Linked DNA regions of Ovis aries. The protein of the gene in region 1 interacts with the protein of each later gene in a pairwise test. Links are inferred from orthologs where the notes say so. Each region holds a gene or a part of one and is shown on either strand. Other genes may lie near its edges. The genes, in order: GSK3B and BCL2L12.

The links.
Region 2: the proteins of GSK3B (region 1) and BCL2L12 interact in a two-hybrid assay, tested with the Homo sapiens proteins (2 studies listed by BioGRID and IntAct). The link is inferred for Ovis aries from reciprocal best matches to the Homo sapiens genes GSK3B and BCL2L12.

What each region holds. Positions count from the first base shown.
Region 1 is NC_056054.1:185,712,660-185,717,178, forward strand, and holds the start of GSK3B (glycogen synthase kinase-3 beta), read right to left. Parts: upstream 2,922-4,519; coding exon 2,834-2,921; intron 1-2,833. UniProt on the Homo sapiens protein: Constitutively active protein kinase that acts as a negative regulator in the hormonal control of glucose homeostasis, Wnt signaling and regulation of transcription factors and microtubules, by phosphorylating and inactivating glycogen synthase (GYS1 or GYS2), EIF2B, CTNNB1/beta-catenin, APC, AXIN1, DPYSL2/CRMP2, JUN, NFATC1/NFATC, MAPT/TAU and MACF1.
Region 2 is NC_056067.1:55,803,216-55,805,696, forward strand, and holds part of BCL2L12 (bcl-2-like protein 12), read left to right. Parts: intron 1-220; coding exon 221-307; intron 308-393; coding exon 394-485; intron 486-1,666; coding exon 1,667-1,945; coding exon of another isoform or gene 1,946-1,984; exon of another isoform or gene 1,985-2,481.

The DNA.
Region 1 (4,519 bases):
TTAAAAAGTGAACTCATCTATCCTCCCATCTCAGCACTTTCTCAACTTTCCCATTACAATCAACAATATAACTTGGCGGTCAAATCTTCCAGACCAGTAACATCAGAATTTATTTTTAACTCCTGACTCCTTCCCAAATACTCCCCCCTTCAATCCAATCCAAAGTCCTACCAGTTCATTCACGCTGTCTCTCAAATGTGTTCTTTTCATCCGATTTTCAATTTTGCTTTATATTGCCTCACTATTCACAACATACTCTACTACTCCCTAAAAGGGCTCTGACGTCTGGTTTCTAATTCATCAACTTTGCTGCCCAAACCATCTTCAAATATTTTGTTCATCAACCTATAGTAAATTCCAAACTCTCTTGAATCTCAACCATAATCATAAGCCCCCTCTGCTTTCCATCAGTTAACATATTTCTCAAATTCCATCTCTTCTTATTTTCCTATTTAGGCCCCTTTTATTCAGATTTACTAACCTGCTTTATAAATACAAAAATACAAAAGTCACCATCTCTGTGCCTCTGTCCATTCTGTCCACCTAGAATCCTTTATGCTTCTCAATATAAGTTACTGCCTCCTTTAACACCTGCCTTAAAACATACCTCTGTAAGAAGTCTTCTCTCCAAGCCATCTACCTCATGCCTTTATTTTTTGTTCCTCTGAACAAAGTATTCTATTTGCATTTATAATCTTGCAGTCATCATATTACTGTTTTCACGTTTTGTCCCATAATCTGCCTCAAAAACTGATAAGCTTTTCAAGGCAAGGACTATAATTTCTTATCGCTTAAACAGGGGTCCCTTAGAACACCAGCATTCCAACAAAGGCTTTCTTCCAAAATGTATTTAAAGTTACGGTTGTCAAAAACACATAGTCAACACTGAACTCCAATCTTTTAAATGTTAAGCTGACCTATATGGTAACAGAAAAGTCAACATTTTCACCTGCACTTTGCAAGAGTTACTCCATCTTCAGTCAACATCCACAAAGGATTCATAGAAAATCCTGTGAACTAAATGAAAAGTCCCCAAATTTAATATTATTAGGTATCCCATTCTGCTCTCTGAATAAACTAATTACCTAAAATTGATTTCAAGTGGTCTTTAAACCAAGATGAAAAACATCCTAACACTCCAGTACCACAAGAGGCTCTTAAGGAGCTATTATAAGATTTGCTTCATCATAGCTGAAAATTACCCCAGAATTTTAAAATATTCCTCTCAAATGACCCCATGAAGTGCTTAGAAAGCTTGACCATTCCCTGAAAGATGCATCATCAGCTTCCCTCTTCACATACTCTGCATTCTGAACTAGCTAGTCACCAAAAAAAAAATTTAACTCTCAAAAATAATCTCCCATTCAGCTATTACCTTAGACTACCCTGTTTCAGACAAGTTCCAAAAGCCACCATGAACTGAAATCCTGAGTTCAAGTAAGAGTGTTCATTTTATAATCAATTTCACATAACAGCATATACCTTTTTAAAAAAAATCTCAATTCAATTCTCTCCTTCTTCTAAGCAGTAAAAGTTTTTCTTTGCCCTCATTCATGCTCCTTTCTGAAGGAATAAGGAAACTATAATAGATATTTTTGTCGAATTCTTTAAGTATATTTAAATAAACTGACATTAAATATCACATAAACATATCCATAACTAGAGATACGTTAAAACACTGGATACTTAGTATACCAAACACTCAAAATAGACTTTTTGAGCACAAATCTGGGAAGAGAGTATAGACGTCTAGCAACAGCCTTGAACAAAGCCCAAATACCTCTATTAAATCTGGGACCACAACCTTCTGCAAAACCTATGATGATAAAGTCTAAATCCATATTCTTCTAACTTCATAGCCTTATCTGAATTCGAAAGGAAAACAATGCGAGAGTATTGTAAGCAGTCCTAAGAAGGAACATCTGAACTCTAGATCATTTAGCAAGTACTGAAAGCAATGGCACCCCAAAGCTGAACTTTAATGATGAGTCAGTGACAATTAACATTCAACTTACTATTTAGCAACATGACAATATAAGCCCCATTCAAAACTCGGACCTACTTTCAAGTTACCTTTTGATTAAACATTAACTCTATAGTGGTAGATTGGCAATGTCAAAACGGTAAGGTTAAGAGATAACATATTAAACCGCGTATCCAATTTAGAACAATGCATGTTGAGATACTACTGCTACTGAGTATCTATCAGCGGTACCCGTCCCTTCTAAAGAGACAAATCAAAGCTCGCCTTCCAACCGAAATGTGGTTACTTAGCGAGTTCATCTCTGGATTAAGAACAAACACTTTGTATAGTCACACAAGTAAGAAAGAAATGTTAGGAGACGGTGACATTCACCTCTTCCATTAAGTATACAAAACTATGGTAACCCTCGAGACCTGAGCGAACTAAACTATCCCTCATTCCAAAAGACACACTCTGGAAAAGCACATAATGGTTTATGAGTCTTGTCCTTCGCTTTAATCAAAAGGATGAGCAAGTAAACACTTCCATCACTATTTTAAGGTGGAAACACTCAACCACTTAATAAAGCTGACTATCAATTGCTAGAAAACTGTAAGAAAAGAACTAAGTTTCAGACAGAATCATCTAAATAAAAATCCCATTCCCCCGATTCAAGGTTAATGAGACCGGAGAAGGGATATGGGAGGAGGAAAAAAGGAAGCTGCCTCATCCTTGACTGAAGACAGGTTTTTGCCCTTTCCCATTACCTCTGTTTTATCAGCAGGTCTCGTATTTTAAGATCCTGGTATTTCAAAGTCTCTTATTCAAAGGGGAGGTGGAGAAGGGGTGTAAAATAAAATCAATACTCACTGCTAACTTTCATGCTGCCAAAAGCTGAAGGCTGCTGCACTGGCTTGCAGCTCTCCGCAAAGGAGGTGGTTCTGGGCCGCCCTGACATGATCACTCTTTTACCGAATCACCTTTTTTCCTTCCTTCCTCCTTTTCTTCCTTTTGTTTTATGTTGGGGTGTTAGGTTAATGATAAATGCAGCATTAAGTTTTCCCACAGGAAAAAGACTTCGTCCTCTTGCCTTTTCACTCCTTTTGTACAGCTATTTAAAAAAGCGAGCGATGTATTTCTCCTTGAAGACAGATCAGTACGGATATTTAACATATAGACGATCCGGGGCTGGGAAAAAATTACAATTCTTTCCCCTCCTTTTCCTTGGAGGGCAGAAATGGGTGGGAGATCCTAAAAAATATATATCACGTGAAACGGGGACAAATACTGGATTGAAAATAAGTACTCTGAATATTATATTTTCCTCGGGGATTTTTTTTCCGAGTCAATGAAGAAGGGAAGCGGCGGAAGGATCACGAGTCTCACGCTTGAAAAGAAGGGGGGATGGGAAGGAGGGAGGGAGAGGGAGGGGTGGCTCGGAGATGCGTCGGGAAACGCTGCGGCTCCGGCAGCGGCAAGGATCCGGCGGGCTGACGGTGGGGGCCCGGCGAACTGGAAGGCGGCGGAGTCGCGAGTCAGTCAGAGTCGGGCGGTGGCGGCGGCTCTTCCCCTCATTGCGCCAGGAGCAGCTGCAGGCGGCGGCTGGATCCAGCGGCCATGGCGGCGGCGGCGGCGGAGGCAGCTCCCTTCAGACCCCAGGCAGCGGCTCCTCGACTGCTCCCCATACGCCGGGGACATGGGAACCCGGCAACCGCTTCCGTCCCTCGGGGGCCCCCTCCCCCGTCCAAGGCACCAGCGCGGCCGCCCTCCCGCCCCTCGCTTCTGCACAGTCCCGCTCAGGAAGTGTCCGCGCTTTGCCCCCAGTCCGGAGCCCTGTCAGCGGCTGCGGGGTCGGCTCCTCCTCGCTTCCTTCCTTCCTTCCTTTGTCACTCGGCCCGGGCGGCGGCGGCGGCGGCGGCAGCAGCAGCAGCAGCAGCAGCAGCACGAGCCCGCATTCGCCCGGGTCGGGGGCTGCTCTCTGTGAGGAGTGCCGTCTGCGCAGCCGCCTAGCTCTTCCCCACTCCCCCTCCCCCCTCCTACTCGTCCTCCGCCTCCTTCCTCCCCCACCCAGCCTTACACCGCCCAGCGCCCCGCCGCCCGCGTAAGAGGCGTCTGGGAATCGCCGGCCGAGCGGGGCGTCCGCCCCCTTCGACAGGGGAGCCGAAACCCGAGCGGAACCAATCACGGATGTCGTTTGTTTGCGGATCCTCCCGGAAAAAGCCGATCGACCTGAAGAGCCAATCAGAAAGTGTCGCTGGAAATTCACGCCCAAGGACGGAAAATGCCGAAGATAGCCGACCGAGGAAAAGGTGGGTTCGCCTTGTTCTGTGGCTGGCTGGAGGAGAAATTCGGCAGTGACCAATCAGAGTCGCTGGCCCTCAGGAAAAGCTTGAAGAGTTAAGGACAGTGAAGCCCGGAGTCGCTGGCGAAACCGCACGGCTGGGCGCCGTGGCCGCTTTGTAATTGGCCGAAACTCCGCTGGGAGTGCAGCACCCTCGGTGATTGGTGAAGGGAATGGGGCTTCCGAGGACAGTCTGGCCAGTCAGGACGCCTCCT
Region 2 (2,481 bases), on another chromosome or scaffold:
TTAGATAGGATAATCTTCAAGGTCCAAACACTCTTAAGTCCAGCTTGGGGAAGAGTACAAGGGGTTTTTTAATCAGGTTTGCTCATTGGTCTTCAGTTTACCCCACTCTGAAGTAGAAATCATTGCTACCTGGCAAGATGATTGGGAGGAGAGAACACCCAAGTTCCCGATGTTGGGTCCAAAGTTCCTAAAGACTCATCATTGGCTCTTTTCATTCCAGGCCCTGCTACCCCAGATTTCTATGCCCTGGTGGCCCAGCGGCTGGAACAGCTGGTCCAAGAGCAACTGAGATCCCCACCTAGTCCAGGTGAGGTGCAGAGGGACGCTGGAGAAAGATGCAGGTAGAAGGGTCACCAGGGTTCTGCCCCCAGCCAAATTCTCTTCTGCCTCCAGAATTACAGGGTCCCGCACCCACAGAGAAGGAAGCCCTGCTGCGAAAACTGGTGGCCTTGCTGGAAGAGGAGGCAGAAGTCATCAACCAGAAGGTGATGGGTGGTCTGTTCCCCCTTTAGCTAGGATAGGAATTGCAGCATGGTTCCACCCTGGGACCTGAAGCTGGATCTGCATTCTCACTGGATGGTCAGACAGGGAACAGTGGGACAAGGCTTCAGTGAAAGAGTGAGTGAAGGGTAAGCCAGGGCAATACCTTGAACTACTGCCTTTCATTGATCGCTAGAGGGGAGTGGCTTATAGGCAAAGGACTATGGCCACCAGAAACACCGTCTAAGAAAGAGATTGGGACCAGGTGAGGAAGTAAGGGAATGTATGGTGTGGGAAAGGGTGGGAGGTGTGGTTTGAAGCTGCTGATGCTGTTTAGTTGCTAAGTCGAGTCTGACTCTTTGCAACCCAATGGACTGTAACCCAAAGTCAGCTATTTAAAATCTGAAGACCTGATTGACTATATAGGGCTATGACTTAGAATGTAGGAGAAATGGACTGCCAGAGGGAGTGTGGCTTGTGGCTCTGTCCTGGAATCTAGTTGGCTCAGGAGCTTGGGCAAAGTGTACCGTCTTACTCATTGCATGGTAGAAGGCAAGGTTGCTGTAGACACTGGCTTGGTCTCTGGGTCTCTGGGAAGCCCACAGAAGTGTCGCTAGAATATTAGCAAGCTGCTGCTAAGTCACTTCAGTCGTGTTCGACTCTGTGCACCCCATAGACGGCAGCCCGCCAGGCTCCCCCGTCCCTGGGATTCTCCAGATAAGAACACTGGAGCGGGTTGCCATTTCCTTCTCCAATGCATGAAAGTGCAAAGTGAAAGTGAAGTCGCTCAGTCGTGTACGACTCTTAGCGACCCCATGGACTGCAGCCTTCCAGGCTCCTCCATCCATGCGATTTTCCAGGCAAGAGTACTGGAGTGGGGTGCCATTGCCTTCTCCATTAGCAAGCTAGAACACAGCTAGTATAGGGCTTGGCCCTGATTGGCTGTTGGGGCCTTGGCAGGGGCATGGCTTGGCTTTGCCAGTTTTCGGCCATCTTTCTGGTAGTAGCTTGGCTGAGACCTTATAGTCTAGTTTGTGATTGGGGGATGTGCCGGATAGGGGCGAGGCCTAGGGCGCCAATTATACCTAGAACTCGCTTGAAGCCACGCCTCCGGCTTCCTATTGGCTAGCTACGAGGGTGTGACTGAGGCTTACTTACCCTAGCTCTTCCCCTCCCTGTCCCACAGCTGGCTGCAGACCCAGCCTTGCAGCGCAAACTGGCGCGCCTCTCAGCCAGTTCCTTCAGCCGCCTAGTGGAGCTCTTCTCTAGCAGAGAGATCAGCCCTCGCCCAAGTCAAACATTACCGTGCCCTGGGCCTCCGCCACCTTCCCCGGAACCCCTGGCCCGCCTGGCCCTGGCTATGGAACTGAGTCGGCGAGTGGCGGGGCTGGGGGGCACGTTGGCCGGACTCAGTGTAGAGCATGTGCACAGCTTCGCGCCCTGGATCCAGGCCCACGGGGGCTGGGTGAGCCGCCAAAGCCTCTCTGGGCTTCTCTTTATCTAATTGTCGTTGTATGTGTGTGTATTGGGGGTGGGGTGGGGGGACGGGGGTGGGGTCTTAACCTTCCTTTCAGGCATCACGGGACCCCGCTTCCACCGTTTGTCCTTCTGTGTTTATTGAGCACCTCCTGTACACCAGGCACTGTCTTGATAACTGCAGATGCCCTACGCAGCTTTAACCACTCTGGTATACACAAAAAGTTATGTCAGAAACAAATTTCCTCATCTGTAAAGGCAGGAGAACTCTTAATACCTACCTCAAAGGGTTATTGTGAGGATTAAAATGGAATCATCCTTGTAGGTACTTGGTCTTTGTGGGATGACTGACTGTGCAGCGCTGCCAGCGGGAATGCCTTTTCCCCAATATCCCCCTTCCTTGCTTCCTCTGCCCACTTGCTCAGGTATCACCCCCAGTGAGGCCTTCCCTGGTCTTCATTTAAAGTCGCAGTGACCCCCACACCCTTCCACCTTAACATGCTTGCTCACTGCTTTAAATCCAGC